Macaca fascicularis: one gene and its partner. The protein of the gene in region 2 interacts with the protein of the main gene of each other region in a biochemical or structural test. Links are inferred from orthologs where the notes say so. Each region holds a gene or a part of one and is shown on either strand. Other genes may lie near its edges.

Region 1 (10,099 bases), on a different chromosome or scaffold from region 2:
AGCACTTTGGGAGACCAAGGCAGGAGGATCACTTGAGGCCAGGAGGTCGAGACCAGCCTGGGCAACAAAGTGAGACTCTGCCTCTACAAAAAATGAAAATTAAAAAAAAAAAAAAAAAAAAATTAGCCCGGCTATTGAGGAGGCTGAAGTGGGAGGATTGCTTAAGCCCAGGAGCTCAAGGCTGCAGTGAGATGTGATCATGCACTCCAACCTGGGTAACAAACAGAGTGTGAACCCAAATCTTTAAACAAAAAAAGAGAGGGAGAGAACGAAAGAAAGAAAAAGAGAAAGGGAAAGAGAAAGGGAAAAGAAAGAAAAGATTGGGCCTTCCTAGAAAAAGGAATATTTTGCCTTCCAATGAATCACCAGAAAAAAGCGGAGTTTTAATTTGTGACCTTGAATCACAACAGTATCATAACAAAAGAACAAATCTTGATGAAGTAATTTTACCTTCCTAAAGAAAACTGTCATTAGTAAACCTTCAATGACTCACAATTCCTAGTCTTGAGCTCCCAGCAACTCAGGCTTGTGAAGGATTAGGTTCTAATGCAACGGGAGCCTACCACCAAATATATTTATAAAATAAGCAGTGCAATTCAAAACTTCCTCTACAAATGTATAATCTTTGCTTACAAAACCCACATTGATGATCCCAAAGCTGTAATAAAAAACAATAAAGAAAGAAAAGGAAAACCACTTATTGGTACTAAAGCCTTTACTGTAATAAACCAAATATATTTACAATTTATACAAATGTTTAACCTTCAACAAAAATACAAAAAAACATTTCACAAGATGCAAAACCAGGAAACAAGTTCATTGGAGACACCACTGCTCTACAAACGACAGAAAGTGAGGTGAACTGCAAGGAATAGGAAAGGTAATCTCACACTTGGGCAAGGCGTGATCCCCAGATCACCCAGAAAGAAAGAATGGGCTGTCACGTGAGTCGGCCGATTCCGTTCCTCAATCCCACAACCCATGGCCCCTCTGTCTGCTTGGCCTTGGTGCTCCATTTGGTCTATGTAGACAGGTGACTTTCTGCTGATGGACTTGTCGCCTCCTCTTTGTAGACTCAAAGTAGTTTCGTGTCAAGGTTTGGAAACAGGTGTTTGTATGTTTTTTTCTCTTTTAAAGTTACAACTTTTCTATTTCTACAAATTCGAAACATTTTGGCCCAATTCAACTATCAACGTTAAACCACATCATGTTTTCAGTAGATGACTTCATAGACTGTAGCCTTCTTGTCCCCTGAGCCAGTGACTATGTACTTATCATCCACAGAGATGTCACAGCTAAGCACTGACGAGGACTCTTTGGACTGGAAGAGAAAACAATGAACACGTGTTTAATGTGGAACAACGGTACTCAGAGGCCCCGCTCCCTCTGAGGCGCCTTCACTCCTGGTTTCAAAGGCAACACTGTGGTGAAATTGTGGATCTAGGTGAGGAGCACTTACTCACCTGGAATATGCTGGCTCCATAGGGGGTCCGCCAAGCATTGAGGAGGTTATCTTTTCCAGTACTTACAAACCATTTACCTAGAATTAGCAAAGGAATATCTCGTTTTCACAAGGTTAAAATTCCTACTTATACAATTAGCAACTGGGACTGAATCAAACTAAGAACATTTTTAATGTATGAACTATCATGCCCTAAGGGACTGGTCCGTGACATGAACAGTGGTTTTAAATCTGGGCTCCTCAGTGATTTATCAGTGTGATCTTGGGTATAATCTAAGAGGTGTCAGCCTCCTTAGTCACTGGATACAGGACTAGTAGCATCATATCCAACACACGGTAACCCTCAAATATAGAATCAATGAAGAATGTCTTCTATTTTAGTCAGTCTTCCCATGATAAAATGGGACTAGACAGGATTAAACATCTAACTTAAGTAAAATGCCAGTCACATCATATAGCACGAAGAAAAATGCTCAATAAGTGATAGGCATTCATCCATCCATCCATCCATCCATCCATCCATCCATCCATCCGTCCATCCGTCCGTCCGTCCGTCCGTCCACCTCTGCATCCTGTGAACAGGTATCTGCCCATCTGCAGTGCACAAGAAGGGTCTCCACATGAACTTCTTCCGTCTTCAACCTCACTGTAGAGTGTAACTAAGTGTCTGGGTACACCTAAATATCCGCTTCTCTGACCCTGGATTCTTCATCACGGACAGCTCATGACTTCCACTGCCCCTGCCCCATTCTTCAGTAAATTCCCACCCACCCCTCTACAAAGTGGAAACTCATTGTCATCTCCCAACCCCCACTGAAACAAACCTGTGTCCAAACCTTGTATTAGGCAATCACATCATTGCCTGCTGACTTTTCTCAAATTAGCAAAACAAACTGAAACAGACATTGCTGTGCTCTGAAGGGCATATTAAAACAATGGAATTATTGCATCCAGCTGCTCAAAGAACAACACTGTTTCCAGATATGATCTCTACCATATTTTTTTAAGAAGCATTTTCCATTTGGGCCATCAACGACCGCCAGTTTCCTTTCGGCTGAACTCACCACAGTAAGCAAATTTCAGGGACAGCACGCAGCTCTCGTGCAGGTGCAACTGGTACTTGTCGGGCTTGTTCACGTGCAGCACCTCCACGTTGCTGCTCTCCATGCCCACTGCCAGCCACTCCCCTGTGGGGCAGTAGCCCAGGGAGAAGATCTGCAAGGAGCAGGACAGGTTCACTCATGATTCCGCCTGATACACTTAGGAAGGGAAGACGCAATGTGAAAGCGGGGGAAAGAGCAAGAATAGGCGGAGGTAATCATCCGAGTCCAGACTGTGGGGAGGGCCACAGGGCAAGTGATCTAACGCAGATGAACCAAGTGTCAAAACCTTTAGGAAACTGGAAACATTTGAACCCCTCTGTCCTTTGGGATAAAATTAAGAAATGATTCCTAATAATAATGGCATTCATGTGTACATTTTAAAGCAGGCCTTACCTTTTCGAGACAGTAACTGAAATACAATCATATATCACCTATCGAGGCAGATGTGTTCTGAGAAATGTGTCGTTAGGTGACTTTATTTTGTTTTTTATTTATTTTTATTTTTTTATTTTTTTATTTTTTTCGAGATGGAGTTTTGCTCTGTCGCCCAGGCCAGAGTGCAGTGGCACGATCTCAGCTCACTGCAACCCCTGCCTCCTGGGTTCAAGTGATTCTCCTGCCTCAGCCTCCTGACTAGCTGGGACTCCAGGCATGAGCCACCACGCCTGGCTAATTTTTGTATTTTTAGTAGAGACGGGGTTTCACCATATTGGCCAGGCTGGTCTCGAACTCCTGACCCCTGGATCCAACTACCTCTGCCTCCCAGAGTGCTGGGATTACAGGCATGAGCCACTGCGCCCAGTCTTTTAATTTCTTTATTTTTTGAGACGGAGTCTCGCTCTGTCACCCAGACTGGAGTGCAGTGACGAGATCTCGGCTCACTACAAGCTCTGCCTCCCACGTTCACGCCATTCTCCTGCCTCAGCCTCCTGAGTTGCTGGGACTACAGGCGCCCGCCACCACGCCCGGCTAATTTTTTGTATTTTTAGTAGAGACAGAGTTTCACCATGTTAGCCAGGATGGTCTCGATCTCCTGACCTCGTGATCCGTCCGCCTCGGCCTCCCAAAGTGTTGGGATTATAGGCGTGAGCCACTGCGCCTGGCCTCATTAGGTTACTTTATTGTGTGAACCTCACAGAGTGCACTTACACACACCTAGATGGGGGAGCCTATCACTCGTAGGCTACAAGCCTGCACAGCATGCTACTGTACTGAGTACTGTAGGCAACTGTAGCATAATGGGAAGTATTTGTACACTCAGATATATCTAAACATTGAAAAGGTACAGAAAAATATGGTATTATAATCTTAAGGGATCACTGTCACATTTGAGGTCTGTCCTTGGCCAAAAGGTTATATGGTGCATGACTGTGCTTATGGATAAAATGATATGCTGTCTGGAATTTACTTTAAAATAATCCAGTGTTTGGGGATGGGGACAAGAGTTATCACACGGCCAAATAACTTAAAGCTGAGTGATGGGCATGTGGCGTTTATTGTACAATTCTCTGTACTCTCATAACTGCTTGGACATTTGCTGTACTCATATGTATTTGAGAATTTCTCTAAGAAGTTTAAAAAAAAACAAAAAAGGCAGACCAAAAATTGTATCCTACTTATGTTAGGAAAGAGGTAAAACAGCAAGACTCTAAGAAACTCAACAAAATGTTAACCAGAATATGAAATTTAGAAGTATATATGCTTGTTTTCTGTTTCTGTCCTAGTTTTCTGAGTAGAATTATTTTTATTACAAAACAAGGTAAAAAAAAAAAAAAATTGCCAAGTCATGATCAAAGCAACAATTCTACCACCAGAAAGCATTTAAAACGGCAAACACTGTTTTTTCCAAAACAAGTCTACACTCAGACACTGGACATCAAAATACTTTTCACAATCTACAAAGCTGCCATTTATATATTATTTCAAAAGTCTGCAAATCTAGTCAGCCACGAGTTCATTTTTTAAAGGATGAGGAATAAAATGCATATCACTGAGGTATTTCTGCATTTTTTTAAGCTCTCTGGTGCAGGGGAAATAAATGAACTTTCAGAGGGGCTGTGACTTCTCTCCACTCCTAGTGACATTCTGCAGATTTCTCAAGCTCTATTTATTTGGGAATCAAAAAAATCATCTCCTACTCCTACATTAGATGGTGAGAATACGTGCCACCGATCAAACACTGCTGAAGGAAAACTATATATTCCTCACCATACAAATCCCTTAAACAAACTCATATATAAATATAACAGCGAACACCCCTTAATCTACAGGATTCTAAAAACCACTCTAGGAGTTTTGGGGAAGGTAGTAGGGAGGGTCGTGAAGGAGGAGGTGGTGGTCGTTGTTTTTAAATTAGTTATCTCAAATTCGGCCCTGATCTGTTTGTCCAGCCACTAACATCCTAGGGTAAGCGGGGAGGGTATAAGGAGGAAGACACACCCCAGCACCTCCCAGACTCTGGGGCAAGCGGAAGTCACTCAGTCACCTGGGAGGTGAAGTCGTGCTGCTGCAGCTGCCGCCCTTCGCGCAGGTCCCAGGACCTGACCGTGTTGTCCAAACCACCCGTCCAGAGCTTGGTGCCATCATTAGAAATGTCAATACAGCTGGCTCCGTCTGTGTGGCCCTGGAATTGCCTGATAAAACAAACCAGATTGAATAATGATTTCCTGCCAGAGCTCAAGGTAAACACTGTTGTGTTGTTAGTTTTGGACCCTGTGTGTGCATGTGTGTGTGTCATCCCACCAGTGTCTGCTGATGTGCAAGATCAAACTAACCTTCCCCCGAGGAGGAGGGGACACAGCACCTGCTGATTGTTTTTCCTTTTTTTTCACGATCCAAGTGCTAAAGAAATGGAATATGCCAGTGCAGGTCACTACCCAGAAGTTAAATACACTACTCTGACAAATCCATCTGCAAGGTACAATTCTTGCCAGCTCTGGAAAAGTGTTGAATTGTTAAATAGAAAATAAAAGACAAACACACAAAATCCCAATTGTATTCCTTATGGAAAGATAAAGGTCTGTTCTTTAATCGTGCAGGCCTGAATCCATGAGAGAAAGAAACGGGGACGTTACAAGCAGAGTGGACAGAAGCATTGCTGTTTCCATGAGTGGATCAACACAGCAATGCTCTACGTGCCAACAGAGCATGAGCTCATGTATTTACTCAACCTTGCTTTCTGTTAGAAAGAGCCCTGCATTAGGAAATCTGGACTCCCAGAGACAAAGGGTCACGCATACCAGCCTCCTGACCTCAGAGGCATTGGGCAGAGACAGAGGTAATTGCCATGGGCACCTCAGAAAGACTCTGCCTCCAAGCTGAGCACAAGGTTGTTCTTTAAAGCAGAACCTTGTGCTTCATTCAAAAATCGCCACCAGAAACTATCAGCTAACAGGGATCTGCTGAGCACAGATGCTGTGCAAGGCAATGAGCAGAGCGGCTGAGGGGAGGTCATTGTAAGCCCCAGCAGGGATGGCGACCATCCTGGACTCAGTTCTGCATGCTGAGAGGGAGCTGGTGGGGGAGCAGCCAGAAAAGGTGAACAAAGTCTAGACCCACCCTCGGAACCAGGCGGGATCCAGTAAAGAACTGCGTGAGAATTTCAACACCGAGAGGAAAGTTTCCACGCTGCTTCTTCCTCCGGGATCCCCACACCTTATCATTCCCATAGAGCTCCAAACTTTTAACCTGAGCTTGGATTTTAAAGAGTGCAAGGGAAGGAAAAAGCACCACTACTGTCCTAAATTCTAAGCCAAGATGTGAACCATCACTTTAAACATCTTCTCTCTGCAAGCCATTCCCAACTTCTGCACTTTAGGATCCAGGCTTGGTCCTCTCTCCTCTACTGCGGCCGTGCAGGTGGACCTCAAGTGTTTCTGCTCGCTTCCCAGACATCCCCACAGAACACCCAGGCCTGGAGCAGTCGCTGCGTCTCTTGCTGAAAGTGTTGCTTTTCTTCCCTTCAAACCGCTCTGGAAATCCAGTGATCTCTTGACCCTCTGACTTCTTTGGACCTTTCTAACTCATTAAACGCTGTTCCCCCTTGACTGAAAACACGTTCCTCTGCTGACATATGGTACCTGACGGCTGCCTCCCATCCCGCTGCCCTCCCTCCATCCATATACTTCAGCATGACTCTCAGGCACATCCTATGACTGTTCAGAATGTGCTGGGTTACGATGGATACAAAGACATGCAATAGGCTGTGCATGGCCCTGTTACAGGCGGCAGCCACTAGCCACCTGTGGGCGGTCCAGAGAAAGATTTGTAAGATGCTACCCCATCCTATCCAACAGGTATTTACTCCCCAGGAGCCGGCATGGAGCAAGGGATCACAGCACAGAGAAGACAGCAGAATGCCTGGGCCCCAGCTTGACTCCACCACATCCGACTGTGCAACCTGAAGCCAGTAACTTACCCTCTCTGAGCCTCAGGCACTTCATCTATAAAATGGGACAAATAGCAGGACAGTGTCATTAGGACTAAGTGGAGGAATATCTGAAAAGTGCTTGGAATTGATATTTTGAAAGTCCTACTTAGGGAGTTTTAAAAAAAGAAAAAACAAGTCACTTTGCTAGGATAAAAGGTTGAGAGGGCGTTCGGCTCTGGCTCCATTATTCCGTTTTGCTCACCTACACTACTCAGCAAACGGAAGAGGAAAATAACTGCCGCACTGTCGCCCACACGCAGGGACCGGGCCCAGTTCAATGACACTTAATGGATTTCTACAGCAGAGGTCTGAAGAGAGTGAGCTGTCATGATGATTTCTGGAGCCCGTGCCTTCTCTGGGCAGCACAAGAGGGGACTTACCAAACAAGCCATGGACCCCAAACTGCACCATCCGCAGGGATGGCTTCCCAGTGAAGATGAAACAAGAGTAAAACACGTGCTTCATTTTACCTTTCATGTTTCATTCGTGCTTACTTTAAAAAGACTTTGTGAGAACAGTTCTGGTGTGAGCACTGACTTCTGAAGGGGGCATTTGGTGGGGGAGCTGAGGAGAGACACAAGGGTACCAGAACTGCAGCTGCTGCTAAGGGGACAGGGCCAATGCCAGGACGCGAGGTAAAACCCTGCGGGCTCCTGAGTGGAACCACCCCTGGGCAGGTCTCCTATTTCATTATTGAGATACTTTAAAACCATTTTGTGGGTGAAATTCATGGAATCTGCTCTTCTCATGTCTCCTTGTTGATTTTCTGTTATCTTTTATCAGTTGGCTCTTGTCTGCACCAAGTTCTAGCCAAAGCCCAAAACATCTAGTAGCAAGGGCCCTTTGTGCTGCCGTGTAATTCACATTAGGCCACCCCTTGGCAAAAGCCAGAAATATTTTTTGAACAAGTTTGGAGTCTGTATGCGGGCTGACATACAGACTATAGGATATACAGACTATCTATAAGGAGATAGAACGTCTCAGTGACCCCAGGCATGGTAGCAAGACTGTAAGCCCCCCAAAGGCAGCAACACGGTTGTCTTTGTTCCCCCATCATCTAACCCCATGCCTGGCATTCAAGAGGATCTTACTGTGCAGGCTGCGGGCAGCCAGAGAGAAGCAGAGGTAATAGGCCCAGCTGCTCAAGAAGGGAACCCCTCCTTAGACGACCATCTTTGCTCACCTCACTAGTGTCTGGTTGTGCAGATCCCACACAGCGATGTTGCCGTCGCTGCAGCATGAGAAGCAGACCTTGGAATCGGGGCTGATGGCCAGGGCGTAGCAGGCGGGGGCCGAGGATGTCAGCTCCGCCTTGATGCGTGGGGTCGGAGCTGCCAGGTCCCAAATGGACAAAGTACTGGCTTCCCCTCCCACTATGAGAGTGCAGCCATCAGGTAGCAATTTACAGGAACGGATATAATTGTCTCTGTTCTGTAAAATAAACAGAATTCATTGCTACAATGAATTACCGAGCAATCATAGCACCATGTTCTCTAATGGCTGTCTTGGTTTTTTGAGTTAAAGAGTGACATTTCACGGACACTCTAACAGAGCAAGAGATCTCTAGTCAAGATTGGGGTCCAAGCACAACTGTCTCCTTCAAAACAGTAAACAAAACAAATTCACAGGAGCTTAGATAACTGTTTCTGGTGTCCTGCATCACAGAGCTGAAACTATCTAGGTATGAGGTCCAGGTGTACACACAGTTCCCCGAGAAGAAACCACTTTTCCAAGCTCGTTTATACATCTGCCTCATCACCCTGCATCATTTACTGCTTGGACACTGCAGGCCCCCGTCTATGTTTTGGTCTTCGTTATGCTGAGCACATTACTTCATTAGTCAGAGGGATTCTTGCTAATAACTTACCAAAGCTGCTTTCTCAAGTTGTCATGTGGCTGCTATTATATCTAAGCCCCTCAATGCAAAGGCCAAAGAACCTGATAAAAGTAGGCACCTTGCCATCAAAACCAACACATATGAAGGGGGTGGGGGTGGGGGGCCCTCATATGATCAACCCCTGAAAGATGCAGATATGGCTAAAGTTCGCTTAAGTGCTTTTCACGATGGACTGTCTTTCAAAGATTAAAGAAACCTTAGACACGTGACTTCAACAAAGGATATTCCCACTGCTATAGAATGTTGGGCCATATTTAAATATAAGTTTCATGAATGAAGACATTTTGAAGTTATTTGTTTTTTTAAAAAAGGCACTAATAACTACTCTAAACACAAGTCTGTGTTTCAAAAACACTGCCACTCAGCTTTCTGGAAACACTCTCTCCGGAATCCTTACAATTTTCCAGGCAGGCAGTGGTACACCGCACCATCTGCAACCGCAGAGCACAGGCAGACCCCATGCCAGGGCATGGCAGGGCAGGGCAGTTCGGAGTCTGCTTAAGGCCAGCGGTATGTGCTCTGTAAATCCTGGGGTTATGGTTTAGAGACTGGAACATGTCCCAACATGTTTTATGTCCCTGAAAAATGCAAAATGGTATTCTCAGGCTCTGAGCGGACATGGCTTAGGAACTCTGGGAACGCATTCTCACCGCTCTATTTTGTTGATGGCTGCCCCCGGTCTTTGCAGTGACAGCCTTTAACCCTTTCCTGAAGTGAAGGTCATAAAACCTAACCAGCTCTCTCAGGTCTCCCTTAAAAACACAGACCTTACCCTGTTCAGAATGGTTTTTATGCCATGTTATCAAATATTTACTATTCGGCCGTGCGCGGTGGCTCAAGCCTGTAATCCCAGCACTTTGGGAGGCCGAGACGGGCGGATCACGAGGTCAGGAGATTTAGACCATCCTGGCTAACATGGTGAAACCCCGTCTCTACTAAAAAATACAAAAAATTAGCCGGGCGAGGCGGCGGGCGCCTGTAGTCCCAGCTACTCGGGAGGCTGAGGCAGGAGAATGGCGTGAACCCGGGAGGCGGAGCTTGCAGTGAGCTGAGATCCGGCCACTGCACTCCAGCCTGGGCGACAGAGCGAGACTCCGTCTCAAAAAAAAAAAAAAAAAATTTACTATTCTATATTTATCTAAAGGCTAAAGGGAAATTAAAAACTGAGTGGATGGCAGGGACCAGAGTCCAGGCCAAGTTGTGCTTTT
Region 2 (10,639 bases):
ACTGATTTTTAAAAATTACCATTTTGAAAGGAGAAGTGGAGAAGTAGCTGATCTTTTTAAGAAATAAATTCCACAAATGCTGTATACGCACAGCTGAAAAACATAAGGCTGTTTTGGTGGCTATTTTCTATTGTCACCAACACTGTACTTTGATTTGGCAAGATTATTTGTTATTCTCAAAATGATTTAACAGGCATCTTCAATTATTCCTTATCTAAAACATATTCTCCTTCCCTTCTCCACCCCCTCCAAAAAATAACAAAAAACCTTCCCAAATATTAAAGAGATATCTATATATTTGCATGTTTTGTTCAAAAATTTAAAGTCTCCTACAACTTTTAAAACTCAAGCATTTATTTGAGGGGTCTCTAAATATTAAACTATTTTCACTTTTTAAAATTCCTTTTAAGGTAGGAGATTCATCCTCATTACACAGATATCTTTATCATTAAATACTTGAAAAGCCTTAAAATATGAAATACCTATTTCTTATAGCAACCATCACAAGATCTCCCTCAAGATTAGAACTCCAAGATCTTCACTTTAACTACTATATAAAAATTAGAAAAATCTTATTCCCTAGCTGAGAGATCAAATATCCTTTTGAACTTTATTGGAAAATAATTACAGTACATCTAAATCACAGTGCTCAAAGTGATCATATTTGATATAAGTATCATTTCAACAACTGAAGATTACATGTAATGATAACCACAAATACTCTTGTTGATAACTGTTGATTTTGAACCACTATTCTCTGCTACTTTGGTGAATCTTCTCACTCCCAGATTTTGTTCACTAAGGTATTAACAACGTTACTCTTCCCAGATGTTTGTGACTGATTTTTTTCAGTTGGTAGAAACACTGGGCAAATAAGTCAAACACTATAGGTTCCATTTTACAATCCTAGATTTGACCTCCAGGGCTGTCAGTGAGACTGGAACCCTAATCCCTGAGACCCACACACATGTGTTTTTCATTGGGGGTTACGTGGTAAAGGGAGAGTGGGGCTGGAGAGAAGGTAAATATATTGATGGGTCAGTAAAAAATCCATCACCACCGCCGGTGGGCTAATTCTAAGAGAGAACTCCATCACCAGCACATTTTACATCTACATACTACACAAGTTACCAGTTAGGTGTTTTCTCACTTAAATGAGGTTTCCACTTCCTAAGAGAAATGTCATCAAATAAACCCGAAATTCTTTATAATGTTATGCATTTGCATAATGCAGTTATAATACCACTGCATTTTTAGAATTTTAAAAGTTAACTAAACCACAAGATTAAAAGAAAGGAACAACTTTCATTAGGGTTATCTTTGAGTGATGCTTTCTCTACAATTGACAATAAAGCAAAAATAACTCATCCTCACCAAACCGATCCTAAGGAAACATTGACTGATACAACAAAATAAGACACTGTTTTAAAAGCCAAAGTAACATAACAAACATTCAGCTCCAAATGAGCTAAAGTAGTTCAGGTTCTAGAAAGCTTGTGGGCATTAAAAGCTATACAGTCCTTATTTAGGTGAAAAAATAAATCAGTTTCTTTTTCCTCTTATCACCATAGAGAGTACAACACTCACAAAATCATGGATTTGTTGATGTAACTTCACTTGATTTTATAACTTATGATCTGTTACATATTTATTTTAATCGATAAGCCAAAAGCTAAAATTCCAAAGGCAAGACATCAAAGGTAGCACTATTTTAAGGTGGCCATTCCTCACAACAGCTCTTATTTAGCAATGACTAGTTATATATAATGAAAGCATTTCCAATGAGTTTGGAAAAATAAACATTCTGCCAAAATACGAATCAATTTGCACTTCTGAACATAATTTGCAACATCAGCATGTTACTTACTGTTCTCGGGATGGGTGGAGAAAGAGATCCATTTGACATGTATGGGTCGTTATTCATATTTGGCATCATTATGTACCCGGAATAACTCGAGTAGGAGGGTCCCTTGTTGTAGAGGCCTCCATCTGGATGCTTTCCTGGGAGGATCCAAAGAACAATCAATGATGACTTTCCTTTTATATTACTGTATTTTTCATCTCAAAATCTAATCGTTCTAAGATAAATCAGACCTTATATAAAAGATTTGTTTACAAAATACTGTAACTGGATTATTATGCTCTATTTTAGATTGACAGTATTTATTCTCTTAAATAGCTTAGCAGCAAACCAGATGTTTTAAAAACATGTGGTTCAAACAGTTCTTCCACTATTAACTGATGTTTTTACAAAACTAAGTGTTATCCATCTAACTTAATTTGTTCTAACACTAACAAACTGGACTAAAAAATACAGAACACACACAAATCTAAAACTGTAATATAAATATATTAAGCCATCTAGCTACACACACATACAGATTTATACACGTGAAGTTATGTTTTGCCTTGCAGACAAACTCAAAAATTCTACCTGTGCTTGTAGATTTCCAGAAAAATTCTAGATTCTACTGCAAGAGTTGTTATCTAGTATATAGGCAACTATCCAAATTTATAAAGGATTAACTCTGGGAGGTTTAATTTCACGTGCTACACTTAGATCATTTTGCCAAAAAATTTCTGTTCAATATGTATATTTCTTCTTGTTAATCTGTGTAACTATTTTGTAGCTGAGGAAGAAGCCTAATATATAACTCTCTTCCCTGCTCCTGGTTAACATCTTGTATGTAAAAACACTTCATTTCAGTTAGGCCAATTGTTAAGTAATTAATGGAGAACAGACAGGCTGACAAGGAAACCCTAAGGTGACTTCATTCTTTTAAAGTCACAAGGAATTCTCCTTAAGTCTAAATACATATGTATGTAATTTTAAAGCTTTTAGTAAGAATCAGAAATACGGAGAAAGTGTATCATCTCTGATATGCACATTCCTAATTATAAGTTTTATGTTTTTACAAGTTAGATTCTGCTCTGCTCATTTACTGAGCGCCTTTTCACTGTAATAAGGAACAAGAAACAGCAATTTTGCAAGTGAAAATCCACTCAAAACTATTCTGGTTGGAAAACAAATCAATATATACTGTCATTCTTCTTAATAATATATTAAAAATACTAAAGATCTAAGCTAATTAGAACTTAAAGTAAGATGAGGAAGAGAAAAACTCATTATAGACATTCCCTCTTCCCCAAAGAATCTGGAACCCACTTGAAATCCAAAGGTCCCTAACTCATTCAAAAACACTTTTTAAATTACGTAACATACATTAGAGGTAAGCCATAAGTTTCCTGCGTTTTCTTTACCATTTTATTAAAATAGTGGGCATAGTCTGACCTAGTCCCAGTTTCTTGAATTCAAAAATAACAAATTGCACACCTTATCTGCTAAAGTCAGAAGAAGTAGAATGGGTGTCTTACCGTCATCGGGGTGTTCTCTGGCCTTGTCGTGGTAGGGCTCCTGAGAGGTTTGTGCTTGTCTGGCCACCTAACATCATGAATCCCCACACCCAAAAGAAAGAAAATCACCTTAGAGTTTGTGACAATAATGATACAATTGTGTGTGCACTGGTAATTCAAAGGAAGGTTTTTAGGGGCAACTCTGTTTTATTACTCTGAGAAACAGACATAAGTTAGTGTTTAGTACTGCAAAATCTTTTTCTTGTCAACATGTATTTTTGAGTGATTATTATCCACCCGAGAGCAAAAACATATAAATAATAACACCAATAAAAATACAGTTAAATTTGGGAATGATCCACATGCTGTTCTGACTGCTGTTTATTAAGCCATATCAAGGCTCCCTGGATGACTACTATTAAAGGAGTAGGAGTTAATGGGGTTGATGGTTTTGATAGCCTCTTCAACCACTGTTCACTTCAATCAGATCTGATAAAAAGAAGGCTGAAATATCATTTTGCAACTGAAAATGACATTTAAACATAAACAAGCCAACCACTCAGATGAGTCCTTAAGGCAAGTGCCCTGAGCGCAGTTTCAGTAGAAGCTCCACTCGAGCTTATAACCTACTATGGCTGGCTGAGCGCAGGCTTACAAAAGTAGAACGATTCTGTGGTTAAAGGGAGGAAAATTAGAGAGTCAGGTTATAGACATCTAAAAAGTAGCCCAGTTGATATCAGTTTTGGTAATCACCATCCACCCAGACAGACTCAACCACGTGCAAATCAGTGGTATTACTCCTTCACCCTCAGGCCTCATGCCCACTTAACACCCAGCGAAGAGTAACGCTTTAACACCCGAGTGCTCGGATTCGAACGCAGGGTCCTTCACCCAGACCAGAAAAGTGGGGAGAATATGAAGTGGGTGGCAAAATTATCTACGGACTAAGACAGGACTAGCAAAATGGGTAGAAAAAGAGGCTGCTCTACAAATAGGAGAGTTTGGCAAAAAGCCTGTGTTTTGGATGTTGTTTGGTTCTCGGAACGTGTGTCCTCCCTTTGACCTCCTTTTCCTAGCACAGACAATAGTCACAAATCTTTTACGCGGGGTTAGGTGCACCCTACTCCCGCCCCCATCCCGCTCAAACTGGATTCAACGGGTAAAGAACACCCTTCTGTTCTCTGAACGCAGGCCCCCAGCCTTTCAAAATGCGTACTCACCTCTGCCATTGGGATAGAGAAGGCAGATCTGAGATGTTCTTAAACGCGCTGTTTAAAACCCAAAATGTCCCCGCCCTCAAAACCACACACTTTCTTTTTGGGGGTAGAAAGATGCCATTTAAGGGAAAAAAAAAGGTATATCCTTCAAGTTTCTTTGGAGGGAAAAGGCGTTGGTTAAATCATTCGGGTGTCAGGACTTTTCTACCGGATTTCCTCCAGAGAAAGGTTTCCCAGTTGTGGAACAAGAGTGACCAGTGGAGTGTCGGGTATCAGGGTCCATCCGCCCCCTACCAGCTCTGGACTAGGCTTCAAACAGCCCTCCAGCGCGGCCCCGCTCCGCGCTTTCTCCAGCCAGCACCCACGTGTCTCTATTTACTCTACTCAGGTTACCAGCTCTATTGCCCGCAGCGGACCAGAAGACCCGATAAAGCGCCTTCCGCCCTGCCGGACTAGTGTCCGGCTTCCGCCGCTTCTCCGCCTTTCTTTTACATAGATTTAAGGCCTGATCCGGTCCCAAACCCCAAATAAAAGTTGTGGGTTTGTTTCCAAGTGATGGCGGTTGGAGAAAACTAGAGTTGGGGGCGGTACAGCTTGGGGTGGCTCGGCTCGGCGCACCCACAGCTCCCAGCTGCCAGCCCAGGCTCTGGGGCCGCAGGGACTGAACCCCGCACCGCCCCCGCAGCCCGGGCGCGCGCCCCCTAGGCCGGCCGGCTCCCTGCGGCCGGTCTCGGCGGTGGTAGGGACGGCCCCGCCTGCCCCAGCCCACGCCCGCCTCCCCTTCCTCCTGCCTGTGGCTCTGCTCGTCTCCACCTAAGCCTCTGGTGGTTTAACGCACTTTTGCAGAGACATCTACCAAAAGATAGCGGGTGCACTTTGTTTTCCGTCCCACGGAAGAATTTCTCAGTAGCGTTATTCAGCCATACTCGCTTTAAAGCCTGGCACTCCTCAGCCCAACAAAAAGACCGAAGACGAAACATTGTGGGTTAAGGGCACGTTTTCCTGCCCACGAACCAACCGTTCAGCCACCGAACCCCCTAAACTGATCCAGTTGGAATAAGTTTCCCTGCCCCTCTACCTCCCATTCTACACACACACACACACACACACACACACACACACACACACACACACACATATATGCAATGCGGACCGGGGCCCCAGCTACGCACACACCCCAAAACAAACGAGGGATCTACTCGGGACCCTCGGCCGGGCGCCTTCCCTCCCTTCCTCCCTCTCTGCGTTTCCCAGGGACCCGCCACGCCTCTCGGAACTGGGGCAGCGGCCCGCTCACCTCGTGTCCGTTGCTGGCTGGGATGATTTCAGACTCGTTCACCAAGGAGGACTTGATGTCAGCTAAATCGCCTTCCTCTTCAGGGTGACTGATCTCGGCGAAGATCTTTTCCTTCTGAGGATCGCCCTCGTCCTTGAAGGGGATCATCTCGTCAGTGGCGCAGAGTTCCGGGTCCCCCCCGCCGCCGCCACCTCCTCCGGAGAGTTGGGGCATCCCGGCGGCTCTGTAATCTCCGCTCCGCTGTGGGAGCACCCGCGGCAACAGCAGGAAAGACAGAGGGGTAACTCAAGGGTGGGGGAGGAAAGGAGAGTTGGAAGGGTTCGTACAGGAGGACAGCAGGCGGAAGCGGGGCGGGTGAGCGCGGGGCCGCCGGCCGGCAGCCGGAGCAGCTGCCGCGGCGCCCGAATCCCGGCGGCCGCCGCGCTTTCCCGCTTCGCGGAGACCGACGCCGGCGCCCGCCCCCGAGGCCGAAGGGCACTGGGCGGCGAGGGCCGCGGTAGCTGGCGCCTCCGGGGGCGTCTGCGCGGCGCGCGCTAGGCTAGGCTGCCCCGGCGGCCACCCCACGCCCCCCGCGTCGCCGGGATTTGCGCGCGGAGGACGCCGGTTCTGGAGGGAGCACCACTCTCCAAAGTGCAGAGGAGGGTCCGGCGGCGCGTCTCCGCGGACACCCTCTCCACTGTAGTTACCCCGGATGCCGACTTAGTAGTTTGTTTGCCGAGAAAAGAGAGGGGGTCTGGGCAAAAAGCCCCCGTTTGCCCCAGCAAAGAAGGTGCAAGGATCAGAAGATAACGAAACGTCCACTTCCTGAAGGGTGGGAAAAAAGAAAAAGAAAAAAGAGCCACCCACGCTGGAGATGTCCGTTTTAGAGCTTCTTATTTTCTTCCCTTTCGCTTCGGTTTTCCTTCTCGAGGCTCATTTAATCTGCTAGAGAAGGAGGAGGAGGAGAAGGTGGGGGCCGAGGAGGCGGGGAAGAGAAAGAGAAGTTTGCCAAGAATAAAGTTTTTGCCGGCAAGCGCGGGGACTCCGCAGTGGAGGGCACGGCGGAGTCTCGGGTAGTCACAGCGGGGACCTCGGGCCCAAATGCTTCTGCCCGGAGCTCGAGCCGACACACACACTCAGCCCGACCCCTCTTTGTTCCCGGCTCGAATTTCTCAGCTTGGCTAGCCGGCTCGCGGATCTGCACGCCTCCGTCGGCCAGCTCTGTCAAAGCAAAGAGCTGCGCCCCTTGGGTTCGCCCAGCCGAGGGGAGGGGACACCCCGAGCTTGGCCGCGTGCGAGGCTCCGGGCGCGTCCTGGTTCTTCGGCCCGAGAGCGCGCAGCCCGGGTCCCTCCTCCGCGCCCTGCCCCGCAGGTGAGCTGCTGCGCCTCCCCACTGCTTCTCCTCCTCCCGCGCCTAGCCGGCGCTGAAAAGCTACCCACTTGCGTCGCTTCTCCTCCCTCTCCCCTCCCCCGCCTCCAGCTCTCCTTGGCTGCCCGCTGGAGGGGAGGCGGGGGGTGAGGGGGAGTCGGCGAGAAGGAGGTGGTGATTGAGGGCTTTTTTTTCTTTTTCTTTTCCCAGATCCTGTAGGACGAGTATTGGTTTTGGGGTGTGTGAGTGTGTGTGTGCGCGCGCGCCTGGAGGGAAGGATCAGGCAACTTGGCGAGAGAAGGAATGACCCGGCGCTGCTTATAACCCACCGAGAGGCACGCTTTGCCCGCGTGAAATTGACAAGAAACATTGCCGCAATGGCTTGACTTCATCATCTAAGTATCTATTTTCTTGGCCCCCACCCACCCACTCCTTTTCCTCTGCCAGTCTCTCCCCTACCTCCTTGACGCCTCCCACTCTCCCTCCCTCGCTCTGGCCGGGGGAGGAAGATGAAAGAGAAAGCCGCCGCCGCTGTGATCGACACCACATTGATAGATGCTCTGACAGTGGGGAGAGGCGGGAATCTGGGACTGAGAAAAGAAGGAAAAGGGAAAAATATAACAGACATTGCTCAACTATTAAGAGAGAACAGAAGGACAAGGAAAAGAGAGTTGTGGCTTTCCCGAATATAATATCATACACACGCTCTTTGGAAACAAGGGAACACGCTAGTGAAAATAAAATCTCCAGGCTTACCGAGAAAAAATATGACGAGGAAGAAGGAACTGAAGACTAGATTTTAATTATTGCTTTTTAAACAATATCTCTTTCATTCTGTCCTCACCACGGGATGTACGGAGAGTTGTGCTAGGTCTCTCGTGGGTTTTCAAAGACACACACCGCAGTGTGTGGGAACCTCATCGAGAATGAAAAGATAATCCAAGAAGGGGGAAGAGAAGGCAAAAGGACTCGGGAGAGCAAAGCCAAAAGAGGGAGGGAGGACGGGGTAGTCCCTGGCACCTTGGACTGCGAGCTGAAAGGAACCCTTGAAGATGCAAATCCGAATACAACCTCAAAAATTCCCCAGTCTCCACTATGTCTTTGATGCATTTTGTACAAAGACAGGAGTTTTCAGGAGATACTTTGTGAAAGTTACAGCAGAAGGGAAGCTGAAGTTTGAAAACACATTACATTTTGTCCCTTGGTTCTCAAACCCCCTCTGTTAAAAATCTAGGCAAAATTATTATATCCAATACAGTAGCCATCTGTAAAACTTCAGAACAGTAAACAAAGGACATAAAGAAATGTATCTTCATCTCCCTTAAATTGAAAATAAGGAAAACACTACAGAATCAGATTTTGCTCTGTTATATAGGAATGGTCTAGCAAAGATTCCTCTTATTTTCCTAAAGGTGAAATTTCAGGCTGCTGAATATTGAATGGGTAAAGATTTTAACAATGCTGTATCTAAGTGAGCACTTAAAACTTCACCTACTAATAACTACTACTTCTTGGGAATGAGAATTTACTAGGAAGCAATTTTTAAAACTTTACGAAGGATCCAGTTGGTCCCTAGAATATGGCCAGTAGTCACATGTAAATTCTATCTGGGAGATTGGATTAAAATTAAGGGGTTGGTGAAGGAATCCACGAAAAGTAAAACATTAAATCCACTTTTAATAGCTGACAATGCTATGCCTCAAGAGAAGAAAAGGAGTATATTCTGCTACAGTGTGTGAGAAACCCAATTTTTGTTTTTGGATGATGGTGGTATGTCACTTCCCTTAAAGTTATGCACCAGTGTGAGTGTCCCAGAGAGGTGAATATATAGCTGTGTCAGACATTTATAGCCCCATTCTTAAAAGACATATGGGAAAATAAAGTCAAAAGTCCTCCCATAACTGCACCAATTTGACCAATAGGAAAACAACTAGAAAATGCAGTTTCACCAAAGCAGAGTTAGAGGTTCCTTTTCATCAAACCCTCAGGAGGGGGAGGGAGGAATACAGAAATGGCTAGGGGGTAGTTTCTGGAAGCCAAAGAGAGATTAAATGATGACTCTTACATTCCCCCCGCTGTTGAAGTGCTGAAACTAATTCAGATGCCACTTTCTCCTTCATGTTAACTCTCTGGATTCCCCGAGCCATTTGGAGCCTATGCTCCAGGTTTCCTGAAGGGTAGAAGCTCAAGAAGATGCGAATTTTTAGAACAATAGTGGAAACTGTTTACTTGAAGGGCCAAGGGTAGGTGGCTGCGTTTGGTATTTTACTGTGACCCTGTCCATTGAAAACATTGTTTCTAACGAAATAACCCAGCACCTTGCTCTATTTGCGTGACTGTTTTCCTTACAGTGGTGTAACTGGTGTTAGCTGATTGTCTTTAGGATTGTTGTAAATCTTCTGATGAGCAGCACTTAGAAGGGGCTTTAGTAAAATCCATGCGCCCCAAATTTGTGAAGCTTCGTTTGGGAGAGAGGTTGACACTTCCACGTGAAGTCTTTCTTTTGGAAAAAGCAGGAGGACGCAGGACGGGCGAAGTAACCCGGGGAAGACGTTCTTCCCCCTCCCTTACGGATTCAGTGTAGTTTCTGGCATAGGCAATTCTGTCACCGGGCGGTCTTGTCTAATTCGTGTGGGGGCTGGTATTAACATAAGCAGCCGCCTCTTCGGGTGCGAGTGGGATCCCAGGTCCGGGATGTGGTGGGTGCGGTGCGGGAGAGGCACCCGCCGCCCGCCGCCCCCTTCACTCGGATGTTAGAGGCAAGTTGTTGGTGTGAACTCGAGCGAACGACTGGAGGAGGTTGGCTGTTGTAGGTTCACTCCTTCAGGATGTGGGTTTCAGGGGGCGTTTTGATGTGATTTAATTCCGACCGTGAAAACAATTGCTAGGGGCTGGCTGGATTGCTGCTGGTTTTTCCCCTCCTGGTGGCTTTGCTTGGTTTGGGTTTAGTTTGGGAGCAAACTTGTTTTATATCAACACTTCCTTCTACATCGGGCGCCGTCGCCTCAACTGTGCGTGGGGGGCGAGGCGCCCACCCCGCACAAGAACAGAGGAGCCGGGGAGAAGAGACGGCCTCGCTGCCCAAGGGGTAAGCGGAGCCCAGTCAAGCTCGGGAGCAGGCAGCAGAGCCAGAGGAGTGACCCCCACTCACACCAGAAAACCCCTCCCCCCCGGCGATTTTGTTGCCAACTCGAGTCGGCTACAGACAGTCCAGTGAGTCCTTAATTACAAGGACGAGAGAAAAGCACGGTGCCCCTCGAGTCCTCTCCGCCCCCTCGGTCCTAACCCCCGCCCAGGCTCCAGGTCTTCCCCTTTGTGTGGCCTGGACTCTCTCCCAGCTACAACTTTGGTGGGATCCCAAAGGAAGGAGGTGGCGGGGCCTACGGAAGAGGATACTCAGGAGCCGAGGAGAAGGGCTAGAAA

What was found.
Region 1: the proteins of LEF1 (region 2) and TLE1 form a complex in vitro, tested with the Homo sapiens proteins (2 studies listed by BioGRID and IntAct, with this or other methods). The link is inferred for Macaca fascicularis from reciprocal best matches to the Homo sapiens genes LEF1 and TLE1.

The regions. Positions count from the first base shown.
Region 1 is NC_088389.1:112,226,840-112,236,938, forward strand, and holds the end of TLE1 (transducin-like enhancer protein 1), read right to left. Parts: intron 8,426-10,099; coding exon 8,178-8,425; coding exon of another isoform or gene 8,174-8,177; intron 5,199-8,173; coding exon 5,051-5,198; intron 2,678-5,050; coding exon 2,527-2,677; intron 1,541-2,526; coding exon 1,464-1,540; intron 1,322-1,463; coding exon 1,214-1,321; 3' UTR 698-1,213; downstream 1-697. UniProt on the Homo sapiens protein: Transcriptional corepressor that binds to a number of transcription factors. Inhibits NF-kappa-B-regulated gene expression. Inhibits the transcriptional activation mediated by FOXA2, and by CTNNB1 and TCF family members in Wnt signaling.
Region 2 is NC_088379.1:113,775,695-113,786,333, forward strand, and holds the start of LEF1 (lymphoid enhancer-binding factor 1), read right to left. Parts: upstream 7,251-10,639; 5' UTR 6,082-7,250; coding exon 5,869-6,081; intron 5,395-5,868; exon of another isoform or gene 4,584-5,394; coding exon of another isoform or gene 4,575-4,583; intron 3,443-4,574; coding exon 3,376-3,442; intron 2,002-3,375; coding exon 1,868-2,001; intron 1-1,867. UniProt on the Homo sapiens protein: Transcription factor that binds DNA in a sequence-specific manner. Participates in the Wnt signaling pathway. Activates transcription of target genes in the presence of CTNNB1 and EP300.